Linked DNA regions of Ovis aries. The protein of the gene in region 1 interacts with the protein of each later gene in a pairwise test. Links are inferred from orthologs where the notes say so. Each region holds a gene or a part of one and is shown on either strand. Other genes may lie near its edges.

Evidence for each region.
Region 2: the proteins of TNS2 (region 1) and KPRP interact in binary tests that used the Homo sapiens proteins (3 or more experiments, as listed by UniProt). The two-hybrid records come from large-scale screens. The link is inferred for Ovis aries from reciprocal best matches to the Homo sapiens genes TNS2 and KPRP.

What each region holds. Positions count from the first base shown.
Region 1 is NC_056056.1:133,381,010-133,384,677, reverse strand, and holds part of TNS2 (tensin-2), read left to right. Parts: coding exon 1-28; intron 29-282; coding exon 283-412; intron 413-517; coding exon 518-583; intron 584-660; coding exon 661-774; intron 775-992; coding exon 993-2,204; intron 2,205-2,307; coding exon 2,308-2,458; intron 2,459-2,582; coding exon 2,583-3,172; intron 3,173-3,287; coding exon 3,288-3,377; intron 3,378-3,668. UniProt on the Homo sapiens protein: Tyrosine-protein phosphatase which regulates cell motility, proliferation and muscle-response to insulin. Phosphatase activity is mediated by binding to phosphatidylinositol-3,4,5-triphosphate (PtdIns(3,4,5)P3) via the SH2 domain.
Region 2 is NC_056054.1:102,715,863-102,720,447, forward strand, and holds the start of KPRP (keratinocyte proline-rich protein), read left to right. Parts: upstream 1-1,730; 5' UTR 1,731-1,760; intron 1,761-2,461; 5' UTR 2,462-2,559; intron 2,560-3,548; 5' UTR 3,549-3,575; coding exon 3,576-4,585.

The sequences.
Region 1 (3,668 bases):
AGCCCTCCTCCTCAAAGGCGATGTCATGGTGAGGGGGCCTTAGCCACAGAGAGAGTCCTGGGGGTGGGGTCGGGGTGGTGGTGAACGCTGCCAGCTGCACCGTCTCTGGAGAGCCATCAATTCAAGGCAGGTTGGAGGGCAAGGAGGTTGTCTTCCTGATGGGGAGGTCACCTTGGAGTTGAGGCAGAGCAGAGCCGCACCCAGATAGTCCCCAGGGTAGAAGCACAGAGGAGACGTGTGTGGACACAGAGCCTGAATGCTGGTCTCCCTCCCCTCCCCCAGGTAACATGCTATCACAAGGGTAGCCGGGGGACTGACCGGACCCTCGTATTCCGAGTCCAGTTCCACACATGCACTATCCATGGACCACGGCTCATCTTCTCCAAGGACCAGTTGGATGAGGCCTGGGCCGGTGAGTTGGAGACAAGTGGCCTGGGGGCTGGAGCCCGGGTGAAGGCAGGCAGGTGGGTAAGGGCAGGGAGGGGGTCACCTGCTCCTCACTGTCCACTCCCCACAGACGAGAGGTTCCCCTTCCAAGCCTCGGTGGAGTTCGTCTTCTCCTCCAGCCCAGAGAAGATCAAAGGTAAGAGCCAAGCCTGGCAGGGGGCAGGGGGCAGGGGTTGTCTCCCTGCTCCTCACCCCCGGGGCGCCCTTCTATAGGTAGCACCCCACGGAATGAGCCCTCCGTCTCTGTCGACTACAACACTGCAGAGCCCGCAGTGCGCTGGGACTCCTACGAGAACTTCAACCTGCACCATGAGGACAGTGCGGATGGTGTGTGGGGTGCCCCCAGAGGGGGAGGGAGGTGGAGCTTCCTGTGGGGGGACATGCTTCCCTCCCTAGACAGACACCCTCCCAAGAGACACCCCCGAGCTGGAGTCTCCGGCACCATCCCCTGTTAACACACGCGCTTTGTCTGTTTCTCTCTCTCTCTCTCTCCCCCCGCCACTGTGGCCTGCTTGCTATACCGCCCGGATCCTCTCCCCACTCAGACTCTGTCACCCACACCCGGGGGCCCCTGGATGGCAGTCCTTATGCCCAGGTGCAGCGAGCCCCCCGCCAGACCCCACCGGCCCCATCTCCGGAGCCACCCCCACCCCCGCTGCTTTCTGTCAGCAGCGACTCTGGCCATTCCTCCACGCTGACCACGGAGCCGGCCGCCGAGTCCCCTGGCCGGCCACCTCCGACGGCTGCCGAGCGGCAGGAGCTCGAGCGCCTGCTGGGAGGCTGTGGAGTGGCCAGTGGGGGCCGGGGAGCTGGGCGCGAGACGGCCATCCTTGATGATGAAGACCAGCCCGCTGCGGGCGGAGGCCCCCACCTCGGAATATATTCAGGACACAGGCCTGGCCTCAGCCGCCACTGCTCCTGCCGCCAGGGCTACCGGGAACCCTGCGGGGTCCCCAATGGAGGCTACTACCGGCCAGAGGGGACCCTGGAGAGGCGGCGGCTGGCTTTCGGAGCCTATGAGGGGGCCCCCCAGGGCTATGCTGAGCCCTCCGTGGAGAAGAGGCGCCTCTGCCGCTCGCTGTCCGAGGGGCCGTACCCCTACCCGCCTGAGCTGGGGAAACCCACCAATGGAGACTTTGGCTACCGCCCCCCAGGCTACCGGGAGGTGGTGATCCTGGAAGACCCAGGGCTGCCTGCACTGTGCTCGTGCCCTGCCTGTGAGGAGAAGCTAGCACTGCCCACGGCAGCCCTCTATGGGCTGCGGCTGGAGAGGGAGGCTGGGGAGGGCTGGGCGAGTGAGGCTGGTAAGCCCCTCCTGCACCCGGTGCGACCCGGGCACCCGCTGCCCCTGCTGGTGCCTGCCTGCGGGCACCACCATACCCCGCTGCCTGACTACAGCTGCTTGAAGCCACCGAAGGCAGGCGAGGAAGGGCATGAGGGCTGCTCCTATGCCTTGTGCCCCGAGGGCAGGTATGGGCACCCAGGGTACCCTGCCCTGGTGACGTACGGCTATGGAGGCGCAGTTCCCAGCTGCTGCCCAGCATACGGCCGGGTGCCGCACAGCTGTGGGTCTCCAGGTGAGGGTAGAGGGTATCCCAGCCCTCGTGCCCACTCCCCCCGGGCTGGCTCCATCTCCCCTGGCAGCCCGCCCTACCCCCAGTCCAGGAAGCTGAGCTATGAGATCCCTGCAGAGGAAGGAGGGGACCGGTATCCGCTGCCTGGGCACCTGGCCCCAGCAGGACCCTTGGCATCTCCAGGTGAGGCCCTGGGAAGGGGGATGCCCAGGGCAGAAGAGGGTTCTGGGGAATGGTGGGGAAAGCACAGACTGAGGAAGAGCTACAACCCCTTCTCTCCCTGCAGAGTCGCCGGAGCCTGTGTCCTGGAGGGAGAGTCCCAGCGGGCACAGCACCCTGCCCCGGTCCCCGCGAGATGCCCAGTGCAGCACCGCTTCCGAGCTGTCTGGTCCTTCCACACCGCTGCACACCAGCAGCCCCGTCCAGGGCAAGGAGAGGTGCTTCGTGGGGCTGGGCAGCTCAGGGGCCTCCTTATCTGGGTAGACACTGAAGCCTGTGTTGGCAGGCACCTCACACAGGGCTCTGCAACCCAACTAAACTGCCCGCCCTCCCTCCCTGCAGCACCCGACGGCAGGACACCCGGTCCCCCACCTTGGCGCCCACTCAGAGACTGAGTCCCGCGGAGGCCTTGCCGCCTGTTTCCCAGGGAGGCGCTGATAAGGCTCCAGAGCTGCCTGCGGGAAGTGGGCCTGAGCCTCCAGCCCCTGGCGCCTTCTCCTCAGCCTCCCCACCCAGCTCTCCCAACGACTGGCCTCAGGAGAGGAGCCTGGGGGGCCGCTTGGACAGCACCAGTCCAAGGGGGCCTGTACCCAACACCCTGCCCGGCCTCCGTCATGCCCCTTGGCAGGGCCTGCGAGATCCCCCAGACAGCCCGGATGGGTCCCCCCTCACCCCTGTGCCTACTCAGATGCCCTGGCTTGTGGCCAGCCCAGAACCCCCTCAGAGCTCGCCCACACCTGCCTTTCCTCTGGCTGCATCTTACGACATCAACGGCCCCCCCCAACCCCCCCTTCCTGAGAAACGCCATCTGCTGGGGCCTGGGCAGCAGCCGGGACCCTGGGGCCCGGAGCAGGCATCACCACCAGCCAGAGGCGCTAGTCACCATGTCACTTTTGCACCTCTGCTCCCGGATAATGCCCCCCAACCCCCAGGTATAAAGGCCTTCAGGAGGCTGGGGCCACCTTAGGAGAACCCTGGTTTCCAGGGAGGGGCATGGCATGGGGACTGGGGAGCCCTGGGGTAAAGCTTAGTCCCTCCCTGTTCTAGAGCCCCCGATGCAAGAGAGCCAGAGCAATGTCAAGTTTGTCCAGGACACATCCAAGTTCTGGTACAAGCCACACCTGTCCCGTGACCAAGGTGAGAAGCCAGCCTGCCCCTACTCCCTCCGGGCCTCTGGCTCAGCTTCTGGTTTGTGCCACTTCATCAGTGGGCCTCCTCTGGGCCGAGCCTCTTTCTAGCAGATGATTCTGGGTTTTAGGCCCGAGGAGGTCTCACCTGCTCAGTGCCCAGTGCACTGACTCCCCAGTGGCATCCTGGGTGCTGACACCACAGCTGTCAGGGCCAGAGGTCTGGGGGGCTCGGGCAGCAGAGCGGAGGGGCTGCCTGGGGCTTGGTCTGCCCCTGTGAAAGCTTCTCCTGCCTCCCCCA
Region 2 (4,585 bases), on another chromosome or scaffold:
TCCCTCTATCTTTTAGGTGATTTTAATTATCTCTTAAAGAAAGGCAATGCCAAAGAATGTTCAAACTACCACACAATTACACTCATCTCACACGCTAGCAAAGTAATGCTCAAAATTCTCCAAGCCAGGCTTCAACAGTACATGAACTGTGAACTTCCAGATGTTCAATCTGGATTTAGAAAAGGCAGAGGAACCAGAGATCAAATTGCCAGCATCTGCTGGATCATCAAAAAAAGCAAGAGAGTTCCAGAAAAACATTTATTTCTGCCTTACTGACTATGCCAAAGCATTATACTGTGTCAAGTTCCACCACAAACTCTGGAAAATTCTTAAAGAGATGGGAATGTCAGACCACCTGACCTGCCTCCTGAGGAATCTGTATGCAGGTCAAGAAGCACCAGCTAGAACTGGACATGGAGCAACAGACTGGTTCCAAATTGGAAGAGGAGTACGCCAGGCTGTATATTGTCACCCTGCTTATTTAACTTATGTGCAGAGTACATCATGAGAAATGCTGGGCTGGATGAAGCACAAGCTGGAATCAAGATTGCTAGGAGAAATATCAATAACCTCAGATATGCAGATGACACCACCCTTATGGAAGAAAGCAAAGAACTAAAGAGCTTCCTGATGAAAGTGAAAGAGGAGAGTGAAAAGTTGGCTTAAAGCTCAACATTCAGAAAACTAAGATCATGGCATCTGGTCCCATCACTTCATGGCAAATAAATGGGGAAATAAAGGAAACAGTGACAGGCTTTATTTCTTTTGGGCTCCAAAATCACTGCAAATGGTGACTGCAGTCATGAAATTTAAAAATGCTTGCTCCTTGGAAGAAAAGTTATGACCAACCTAGACAAAATATTACAAAGCAGAGACATTACTTTGCCAACAAAGGTCCGTCTAGTCAAAGCTCTGGTTTTTCCAGTAGTCATGTATGGATGTGAGAGTTGGACCATAAAGAAAGCCACGTGCTGAAGAATCGATGCTTTTGAACTGTGGTGTTGGAGAAGACTCTTGAGAGCCCCTTGGACTGCAAGGAGATCCAACCAGTCCATCCCAAGGAAATCAGTCCTGAATATTCACTGGAAGGACGGATGCTGAAGCTGAAACTCCAAAACTCTGGCCACCTGATACAAAGAACTGACTCATTGGAAAAGACCCTGATGCTGGGAAAGACTGAAAGCAGGAGGAGAAGCGGATGGCAGAGGATGAGACAGTTGGATGGCATCACTGACTCAATGGACATGAGTTTGATTAAGCTCTGGGAGATGGACAGGGAAGCCTGGTGTGCTGCAGTCCACAGGGTTGAAAATAGTTGGACACAATTGAATGACTGAACTGAAGTGAATTATCTGTTATTTAATTTAAAAAGGGAGTTTTCTTCCATTTTCTCTACCTGGTTAGGGAATGTAGGGGCCTGGAATCATCTTTCAAGAGAAAAGATGTCTTTGCCATGCCTCATCATCCTCTTAACCAGGTCTTCTAGCAATGGAGAAAAAACTGACAGCGTGAAGAAGGAGGAAGAAAACAAGGACCTGCTCCTTCATAGTTCAGAGGCTTTGACACTAAGGTGAGACACTCCCACATTCTACAGGTGACTGCAAGGACAAACATACAGGGAGGTGACTGGCTGCTGGAATTGGGTGATGCCTGGCAGATGCCAACCAGTTGTCTCATGGTCTAAGCCAGACTCAGAAGCCTTTATAAACAGTCTTGTCTTCAGATTCCTCAGCCTGAATGACTGCTTGCCTGTGAGGAGGGTGAGTCTAGGGGTTGGGTCTTGGGATTGGGGTCTGGACGATGCCCATGGGGTTCCCAGATTCACAAGGATGAGGCACAGTGAGGACGGACCCTGGGGCCAGAAAAAGAGAGGTACTCCTTCAGAGGAGAACAGTCTGGAGGGCTCTTAGAGGATGGAGGAAGAATATCTACGGAGTTGGGGTGAAAACCTGGGACAATGAAGTCAGTGTATTTGTCTTGGATTACCATGGACTTATCTGTAGGTACCATTTTCTTGCATCAGGACCTCTTTCTCTGGAAAGATGCATTATTAATTTAATTTACATCTTGTGAGCAGACATGTATGTAAGAGGGTTACCTTCCTCAAGGACATGTATACTTAGACAGGCTGTACAAATAGACAGTAGAAGGCTTTGCTCTTCATTATAAGTATGTCAGTATCTCAGGAGCTCACAGAGATGTGTTTGAGATGTGGACTAACTGTCAAAACAGTCTCCGTGCTGTGCTGGTCACTGGGCTGATGCCTGTGAACAGGCAGATTTGAGGAGGACAGAGGATTGGGGATGTCCCTCAGTTTCTCCCTGGCTAAGTATGCTGTTGGGAAGCATGCCTGCACCCCTACATCGTGTTTGTAACACTCTGCTATTTAGAGCTTTATGTGTGCCTGAATGTCAGTCTTGTGATTTAGGAAACTTGCACTTTCTGGGTCATCCTATTTTAGGTAACTGTGCCTTGCTTCTCAGAGGGGCTGGGGAGAAAACATTTCTGAAACTAGCAGACTGTCCCAGTTGAGGTGACTGACATCAGGAATCTGCCTAGGTAAGTTTCCAAGATGGTCCTGAGCCTTTCCAAGGTTGGTGTATTTGGTATGTGCGTGTTTTGCATATGTCCATGAGGGCTTGTAAATTCACTTAAAAAGATTGAATAGAAAGAAACAAACATTTTATGCTGGGTTTGAGCTGTCCGGTAAGTGACTGGATCCTTTAATCTACAGTGGATACTTTCTTTGAGCGCAGATGGTGCCTGAGTGCATGCGTGCATAGTCACAGAGTTGTGCCTCACTTTTTGCAACCCTATAGACTGTAGCCTGCCAGGCTTCTTTGTCCATGGGATTTTTCAGGCAAAAAGAATACTGGAGTGGGTTGCCATTTCCTCTTCCAGGGGCTCTTCCTGACACAGGGATCAAACCCGTGTCCCCTGCACTGCAGGCAGTTTCTTTACCGCTGAGCCACCTGGGAAGTCCTGAGGGCTTGCTCCCATATGTACCCTTTTGCATGTTTGCACATATGTGCAAGTTGCCAGTGTGAGTGCTTGAGGACATCCAAGCTCCTGTGGGTGTGGGGTTCCCATTTCGGGCTACAGCCTTGGGAGGAAGATTTCTCTCTACTTCATATAAAGCTCCCTCCCACCTCTTCAGTTCAGTTCAGTTCAGTCGCTCAGTCCTGTCGGACTCTTCGACTCTTCGAGACCACATGAATCGCAGCTCGCCAGGCCTCCCTGTCCCACCTCTTAGGACTTGATGAAGTGAGGGAATTCTCTTGTCATCAGCGCCCTCTTGTGCTGGACACTGGAATGCCCATTTGCAGTCCTTTGAAGCTCCCTCAGATCAGGTCTTTTGGAAGACTCAAGGCAGATTTTGTAGGCAACGGTGACTAATCTTGGGTTGAGCTCACTCTGTAAGGATTCTTGGGTACAAGCTGAAGGTATGGGAGGAAAGGCCAGGAAAGAAGCAGGGTGTCTGCCCCTTGGTCCTGCTCACCACTCCCCAGCAACTCTCATCTTCCTGATCTTGGTCTTTCTACCCTCAGGTCTATTTACCTGTCTGCATCAAAACCATGTGTGACCAGCAGCAGATTCAGTGTTACCAGCCGCACCCCCAGTATTGTGTGGCATGTTCCCCCTTCTGCATCTCCCAATCCCCTTGTGCCAACAGCCAGGTGGTGGTCCAAGCCCCCTGCGAGATGCAAATTGTGGAGTGCCCTGCACCATGCCCAGTTCAAATTCCCCAGGTAAAATGCCAGGCTCCATGTCAGTCTAAAACTACAGAGGTGAAGGGCCAAGCTCCATGCCAGTCTAAGACCACCCAGGTGAAGGGCCAACCTCCATGCAAGTCTAAGACCACCCAGGTGAAGGGCCAAGCTCCATGCCAGTCTAAGACCACCCAGGTGAAGGGTCAGGCTCCAAGCCAGCCTCAGATTACATGTGTTCAATGCCAGGCTCCATGCCAGTCTGAGGTTTCCTATGTGCAGTGTGAAGGCCCATGCCCTGTGCAGACCTGCTATGTAGAATGTGCTCCCGTTCATTATACAGAAACTTGTTATGTGGAATGCCCAGGCCAGAGCTATGTACCCTGCCTGGCACCTCAGCCTGTCCAGACTTATGTAACAGGTCCCCTGGTGTGCCAGCCTCAGGGAAGATTCTCCACCCAGTGCCAGTATCAAGGCTCCTACAGCAGCTGCGCCCCCCAGCGCCAGTCCCGGGCTTCATTTAGCACCTGTGAGCCCCAGTGCCAGACCCGGGGCTCTTATGGGAGCTTTCCTGCACAGAGTCGCTCTCGGAGCACCAGCAGGTGCCTCCCTCCTCGCCAGCTGCAGCCTTCTTACCGCAGCTGCTCCCCACCACGACGTTCCGAGCCCTACTACAGCAGTAGCTGCCTGCCGTCAAGATGTTCTCCGGGCTCCTATAACTACTGTACCCCACCCCGCCGCTCTGAGCCCATCTATAACAGTGACTGTTCTCGGCGTCCCACTTTGGGCTGCTCTCAGAGATGTGGACCCAAGTGCCGAATAGAGATTTCCTCCCCTCGCTGCCCCAGGCAGGTTCCCCCCCAGAAGTGTTCTGTTCA